Coturnix japonica: one gene and its partner. The protein of the gene in region 1 interacts with the protein of each later gene in a biochemical or structural test. Links are inferred from orthologs where the notes say so. Each region holds a gene or a part of one and is shown in the gene's direction. Other genes may lie near its edges.

What was found. The genes of interacting proteins can lie anywhere in the genome.
Region 2: of the proteins of MYB (region 1) and NLK, one has a biochemical effect on the other in vitro, tested with the Homo sapiens proteins (2 studies listed by BioGRID, with this or other methods). The link is inferred for Coturnix japonica from reciprocal best matches to the Homo sapiens genes MYB and NLK.

The regions. Positions count from the first base shown.
Region 1 is NC_029518.1:50,403,384-50,407,034, reverse strand, and holds part of MYB (transcriptional activator Myb), read left to right. Parts: intron 1-371; coding exon 372-629; intron 630-1,673; coding exon 1,674-2,033; intron 2,034-3,560; coding exon 3,561-3,651. UniProt on the Homo sapiens protein: Transcriptional activator; DNA-binding protein that specifically recognize the sequence 5'-YAAC[GT]G-3'. Plays an important role in the control of proliferation and differentiation of hematopoietic progenitor cells.
Region 2 is NC_029534.1:8,031,219-8,034,869, forward strand, and holds part of NLK (serine/threonine-protein kinase NLK), read left to right. Parts: coding exon 1-39; intron 40-872; coding exon 873-1,082; intron 1,083-1,912; coding exon 1,913-2,014; intron 2,015-3,651. UniProt on the Homo sapiens protein: Serine/threonine-protein kinase that regulates a number of transcription factors with key roles in cell fate determination. Positive effector of the non-canonical Wnt signaling pathway, acting downstream of WNT5A, MAP3K7/TAK1 and HIPK2.

The DNA.
Region 1 (3,651 bases):
GTGCTCACTAGGGAAACCCTGCCGTTTCTTGCTTCTCGCAGAAAGTGACTTGCAGACACTTGTTGAACCTTTGGAATAATGCAGTACAAATTGATACCCTATTAGTCACGATACACATTCATAATCCTGGAAGTGAATTATGAGGCAACTTTGGGATAACAAACACAATGCTGATATTACTTAAAACAAGGTCTTGCACTGATGAAAGGAAACATCTTGACAATTGTTTCGTAGGCATAAGTTTTTAGATGATGATGCAACAACTTTTATCTTTCCTCCAGTGGCATCTGACACCTTATGCAATTTCATTGCTAAGTTCCTTCTGCCTTTTTCCCCCCCTCTCCTTTCCTTTTTTTTGCTTCTTCCTTTAGACACAGAACCACACAGCAAACTACCCCGGCTGGCACAGCACCACGGTTGCTGACAATACCAGGACCAGTGGTGACAATGCACCTGTTTCCTGTTTGGGGGAACACCACCACTGTACTCCATCTCCGCCAGTGGATCATGGTTGCTTACCTGAGGAAAGTGCATCCCCCGCACGGTGCATGATTGTTCACCAGAGCAACATCCTGGATAATGTTAAGAATCTCTTAGAATTTGCAGAAACACTCCAGTTAATAGACTCCGTAAGTAAAACTGTCGCCTCAGGTGCATTTGTGTGTGGTCAAGGAGTAAGGGGAGAGGAACTGGGACCATCCTAAAACTATTGTTGTTGTGTTTTTTTTTCTTCTGAGTAACTTCTAATTGCTACAAGATCCGAAGCTTAGCTTCCAAAATAACAACACCTGGCTGCTCGTAAGTGAAGCCCCTGAGTGTGGAAGTGTTTGCTCTTTGTGCGTGTCTCCCTTTCCTGCTGCATCTTGGTATGGGAGTGTGATTCTTAGTGAACGACACATTACAAGTATGAAACAGTCTCTTACCGTGCTGCATCTCCCTACTAAGAGCAGAGACACAATGGAAGATTTTAAGCAGTGAAACAATACTTTCTTAGATTGGAAATGACACATGCTGTAGGTTTACATGTGGCCGATCATGTGTCTGCATCGTTTTCTAAAATTTCCCATTGAAGCATCAATTGCTGCTTCCTAGAGCAAAAGGGGTTTGCCCTAGTGTATGTGGAGAACCGGAGACACTGATTTTAACTTCCAGGTAGCTGAGTGACACTGACATGGCCTTTTACCATCATGATCTCTGGAGTACTGTGTGTAACATGAGTGGCATGGTCAAATACGTTTGCTGATAGCACTCTGCTTCATCAGCAGAGGGGTCGGCTTCATGCAGTGCTACATACCCTTTTGCATTTCCAGAGCAGTTGTGCTGGCTCAGAGGAGGCCAGTCTTGGTTGGGAGTCCAAGGCACATGTTTTTGGTTTTTTTCCTAATGATTTTCTGTCTTTGTTCTGCACAGAAAATGCTGGACTAACCAATAGTAAGGACATCATTTGACTGACTGTTTCTTTAGGACTTCACTTGCCACCAACACTGCTAGGGTGCTAGCTTGATATGCTTGACATGTAGACTGAAAACACAAATAAGAGATCCGAGTATCAGTACTCAAATAAAAACCATCAAGCAGAATTGAATTGGGAAAGCTTTGTATCCTAGTGCTGCATTTTCATGAGGTGGCACCATATACTGTCTTATGGCTCCGTGCCTCCCACGTTGTTTCAGGATCCTTCATCATGGGGTGATCTCAGCAGTTTTGAATTCTTTGAAGACGCAGACATTCTGGCTGGCAAAGCTACCTCAGGCAGAGCCGTGCAGCTGCAGCATGGAGGGGCCAGTGCTTGTGGACCTCCAGGACACCCCATCTCAAACCTGAGCAAAACCATGTCAAGTCAGGGCCCTCCTGGCTCACCAAAGTCCTTGTCTGCCTCGCAGGGCAGTGCGGCTCCGTGGGTCCTTCGCAAAAGGAGAGGGCATGTCAGCCCCTTAGCCAGTGGCCCCAGTAGCACCTTGGGACTGGCTGACGGCAGCAGCTCAACTTCTAAGCACTCCCCTGTCAAAAGCCTGCCCTTCTCTCCCTCGCAGGTAGATGATGACTTCTGCACAGATGTTACTAATTCTCAAAAGTCACTGCAGTGTTAACAATTTAGAAACTAATCCTTTGGAACAAATGACTAATTACCGTTGCACTTGTTGATTTCACTCCATGTTTGAATCTCGTCACTACTCCTAGTCCTTGCTGCTGAGTGTAGATCATCTGCAAGCTAACTGTTGATTTTCTTCTTTCAAATTCATCTGTGGAGCTTGGGTTTTTCTTTTTGATTTGGGTTTTTACTTTGGAGGGGATTGCAATCGCTTGCTTTGCTCACACTGTTAACTCCTTCAGCTACTAGATTTAAACATTTCTGATCATTGGTAATACTTTCCATCACTGTCCACTTACAGTATGATTCATTGACCTAGAAAACCCCAAATTGCGTTTAAATAGCATTCGGGTTGTGAGACAAACTGGCAACAACTAGAAAATTCTAATTGTGGGGTGGAGTGGAAGAGGAATGAAGAGAAAATCAGACTCTTACAATTACCTGGTGTGCACTTTGAAATTCTTGTGCACTGTTGCTTTGTTTCACAGCTGCAGCACTATTTAAAGGTGTTTTGTTTTGGTTTGTCTGTTTCTGTTGTTTTTGCCTTGATTTGATGTTAAAGTCAGAGAAATGCTGTTTCATGAAGAGTATGTATAGATGGCAGATAATGATCTCCTACCATATCTCCAATTATGCGTTAGGTATTTTAATCACATATCACTTGTCCAGTAAAATTCGTGTTATCATACATACCATGTTTTTTTCTAATCTGGTACAAGTGAAGTGCAGCAGGTAACCTGGTGAATCAGTGTCCAAATGAAGGATACCAGGACACTCACAGATTTATAGGTACTAGAAATGGAAGCTGTATTTTTGGCTGTCAAGTGGAACTCGTGGAGAAGCAATTTTCTCCAAACTGTTGCCTCCACCTCCTTTTCAGTCAGCTGAAAACACTCCACACTCCCATCGTAGGCAGTGAATTTCATTTTATGTTGTGAAAACGGAGCACTTTGTTTTGAGAGAGATGATAAGAAATTTATTTTCCTGTCATAGCTGCCTTATTTACTGCTTCAGAAGTATTTAGATTCCCCTAATAAAAATGTATGGAACTGTGGAAACCTGATTTCCAATGGGTTTCTTCCTGAAACATCCTCTACTCATCTTCTCTTGTTTCTTACCTCAAGCTCTCGATATTAATTACAATCTGTTTGCAGAAAATCCATATCAGATGTTTAAGTGGTAGAGATAGTATCTGTTTGGAATGGAGTGTCATCTTGTTTGTGATTTCCCACAATAGAGATGTCAGTCCTTACTTCCTGAATGCTCCAATCAGACAGTTTGCAGAATATATTTTTTCCACATAGTCAGGTACTCCACACGCACCTACCCATATGGTAGGGACAAGAGAGTCACTTATGGCAGTGAGAAGGAAATAACTTATGTTTTCTTCTGTTCATTAAAGTCAGATGAAGAAGTTGGCGTCACAATTTAGATGGTCCTGCTGATTTTCTTCTTTTCCTGCCTACAGTTCTTAAACACATCGTCCAATCACGAAAATCCGAACCTGGATAACCCCGCATTAACCTCCACACCAGTGTGTGGCCATAAGATGGCTGTTA
Region 2 (3,651 bases), on another chromosome or scaffold:
CCAGGGAACCTACTCGTGAACAGCAACTGTGTTCTTAAGGTGCTCCTTAAATTTATTGAACATGTCTGTCTGTATGTGCTGCTCATCACAAATCAGATGTGTTTTGTTGCGAAAGCATTTCATATTCAGTTTTCCTGTAAAGTCAATTTAAACGGGGGGGAAAAATGTCGCACAGATTCTTTAAAAATTATCAATGAAACGAAGGTGTTCCATGTTGGGACATTGTTCCTTCTGTGCCCACATAGACATCTGTGTTCTCCTTCTGACTCATGGGTCAGAATTGCTGCTGTGCTGGCAGCCAGGGCTCAGGCACTCTGAGGCGGTGCATGTGCTCACAGGGACTTCTTAGGCCTGTGGAATTATGCAGGTGTGCTGTATAGCAATGCTGAATACCAAGACAGATTTCTATACACTGATTTGCTGTGCGATCCAATTGTGGAAAAGTCAGTCTGCTTTCTTAACCCTTCTGGTTAAGGAAACTTTTAAAAATCCCCCGAACTGGGGTGCGACAAGGCTGAATCTGCAACGTTTTGGAGGCATCCCATGAACAAATGAGATCTAGCTTGGGATATTCTGAACCCAGGGTTTACTTCGAGTGCTTGTTTTTGTGTGTGTGCTTTCAGACTGAGTCCTGCAAAGCCAACTAAAAATATACTGAGATTTCAAATAAAATGGTGGGAAGTTTAAATGGATACGGAACAAAGTAACAACTTCTACCTATTCCCTCTTCCCTTGGCTTGTGCAGTTATGGATTATCCGATTCATTTAAATGCTGGCTTGGAATGACATGCTCCGTTACCACCAGGCTGCCTATTTGAAGCGCATTAAGTGTTTTGGTTATTTTAATTTTTTTATTTACCTTCTCAATTTAGATTTGTGATTTTGGATTGGCCAGGGTGGAAGAATTAGATGAATCTCGTCACATGACTCAGGAAGTTGTCACTCAGTATTATCGAGCTCCAGAAATCCTGATGGGCAGCCGCCACTACAGCAATGCTATTGACATCTGGTCTGTAGGCTGCATCTTTGCAGAACTGCTCGGGCGAAGAATATTGTTTCAGGCACAGAGTCCCATTCAGCAGGTATCATTAAACTTCCCTCTAAAACAGTTTGATGGAGTTAGTTATACCGATGCATTTTGAATCTTGAACTTCCTTTTGTTTTGCTTAGTTTACTCATGGGCAGGAAACCAAACTCTTTGTAACACTGAAGCGATGGTTTCCAGATGTTGTTAAAAGTAGTAATAATTGTCATTAGCTTTTGAAATTTGTGATTTTTTTTTTTATTCCCTTTAATCTGCTGCAGTACCAACGTTTACTGTGGCATTTTAAAGTGATGTAAATGGGATCAATATTTTTCTGACTATGAATAAGAGAAAGTAACGTTCCCATCAGTGTATAACAGTATTGTATTTGAGTTGTGGGGCTGATGGACCTGGTGGTGCCTCACAGAGCAGTGCTTCTGCCTGGGAGTGGAGCTGAGATGGAGAGAAGCCACCAAGTGTAGCAACACGTTTGGTGTACAGACAGTAATCACATTTCTCACTTTGATGCCAGCAGTCAATGAGTGATTTTCATGCCTGTGTAATGATGGTAATGGCTTTAATGGGTTTAGTCTCAGAGGGGGGCTGGGCAATTGCTTGTTAGCATGAGTGGATGGTGGTCATGAGGGAACCCTTGGAACCAAGGAGCTGAGCTCTCTACTGGCAGGATTTATTGGTTGTTTGCTTTTTAACTTTGACTCCTACAGGATGTTTTTGTTTTCATTCACAATAGGAACATATACATTCGCTTCTGCAAAAATACAGTGAAAGCACTGGTTCACGTGTTAGTTTAGCTCCAGAATCTGCTATCATAGTGAAACATATTAATATATACCTGAAATCCCAATTGTGTATGTTCTGTACCTGCAGCTGGATCTGATCACAGACCTGCTGGGAACGCCCTCACTGGAGGCAATGAGGACAGCGTGCGAAGGCGCCAAGGCACACATACTCAGGGGTCCTCACAAACAGGTACAGGCTGCACTTGGCCTTCGTGGCATAGCATTTCCTCTGTGTAGATACTACTGCTGTCTCATTCCTGTGTTTCACATCTCAGTTGAATTCTCAGGCTGGAGCACGGACATTCATAAATACTTTGTTTGATATCTAATTTCAAAGTTGTCTCTGCTTGTGAACTGAGTTACTAAGTTCACTGACGGTGGTTCTGGTTAATAGTGCAGTTATTCAATCTCCTGTGCAAATGAGATGTTTTCTCTGTTGTCAAGTGCATCTCTGATGAATCCCATTTATATTGTTTGAATTGCCGATACAGGTGAACATCGCTCCTGTTTTTGAGGAGATGATGTTTTGATAGCTATTCTGAATGAAGTTGTTAATTTAAGCGATAATGTTGGGAAGAGACAAATTAAATTGGCAATACAGTTCAGAAAGCCCCAGAGGGACAACTTTACAGACAGGATAGAGAGTGTTAGAAGAGGAAACTGCCCATTATCAGGATCAGTAAGCAGAATGGTCAAGCAGATCCTCAGCAGAGGTCCCCTCAGACAGCCGTGCAATGACCTGAGCTGTTTGTGAAAGGTTTAAGATGACACAGAAAGCTGAGGTGCAATGTTCAACATAACTGGTGTAAAAGTTAATAAAAATCCAAACCAGGGAAAAGAGATGAGATGAGATGATACCATTATGCCACCTGGAAAACAAAATTAGCTAATGTAAAGTACGGATGCAAAGAAATGCCTAAGCAGGAATCCCTAACAGTGGTAAAGCATTATGCCCGCCCAGTGTAGCCAATTTTGTGATTGTTAGATAGTAAAAAATGAACAAGATGAGTAACCAGTACATGTTAATACATCAGGTCTTTCCAGTAGAGTTTGCATATTTATTTTCTCCATATAGAAGTAATTTCTCAAATGTCAACTCACCACAATGGTAGTTACCATAGAAATGAGCACTGAATATATCTTGTGCTGTATTATTAACGTGCGAGTTGTACCTCCTAGGCAGCCTTGATTCCCTACATTGTGGTACGCGCTCTTTCTTTTAATGTTAATAATAGGAGGATTTCCTTAAGACTTTCTCTCCCAGTTCTCAAACAAATGAAGTCTAATTGTGTTCATTAGCACACACTAAGAATTGCATATTTTAAGCTTCTTGTCTTGTGCTCCCAACATTTCAGTTGTTTCAATGCACTTTGTGTACAGCTGTGTAATGCAGTGTACAAATGCAGTGCACAACTGCATCCAGGTGCTTTATGGAATATGTTGTTTTTAAATTCTGATGGTTTGATAATTGCTTGGCATTCCTGCAGTGCAGTACTTGTGCCTTTGGTAGGGCAGGCAAGAACTCCAGTATTGATTTGTTCTGTTTGTTAAACCTAAATGCTTTATTAGGAATTAAAAAGGGAAGAGGAAATTTTTTTGTTTTATTTTATGTTTTGTAATCCCAGTGCTGAAGTTGTTCTCTACAAGCCACTGAAACCATTGTTTTATCTATTGAATTATGGGAATGCCAAAAAGCAAGCAGGTGAAATGCTATAAAGTATTTCTGATATGGCCAATACACCAATCTATCTATAGGAGCTAAACTGTAAGCTGCAGTCTGTGTCTACTGTTACCTCTGAGCAGCACTGCTTCATGGAGTGTCTATGG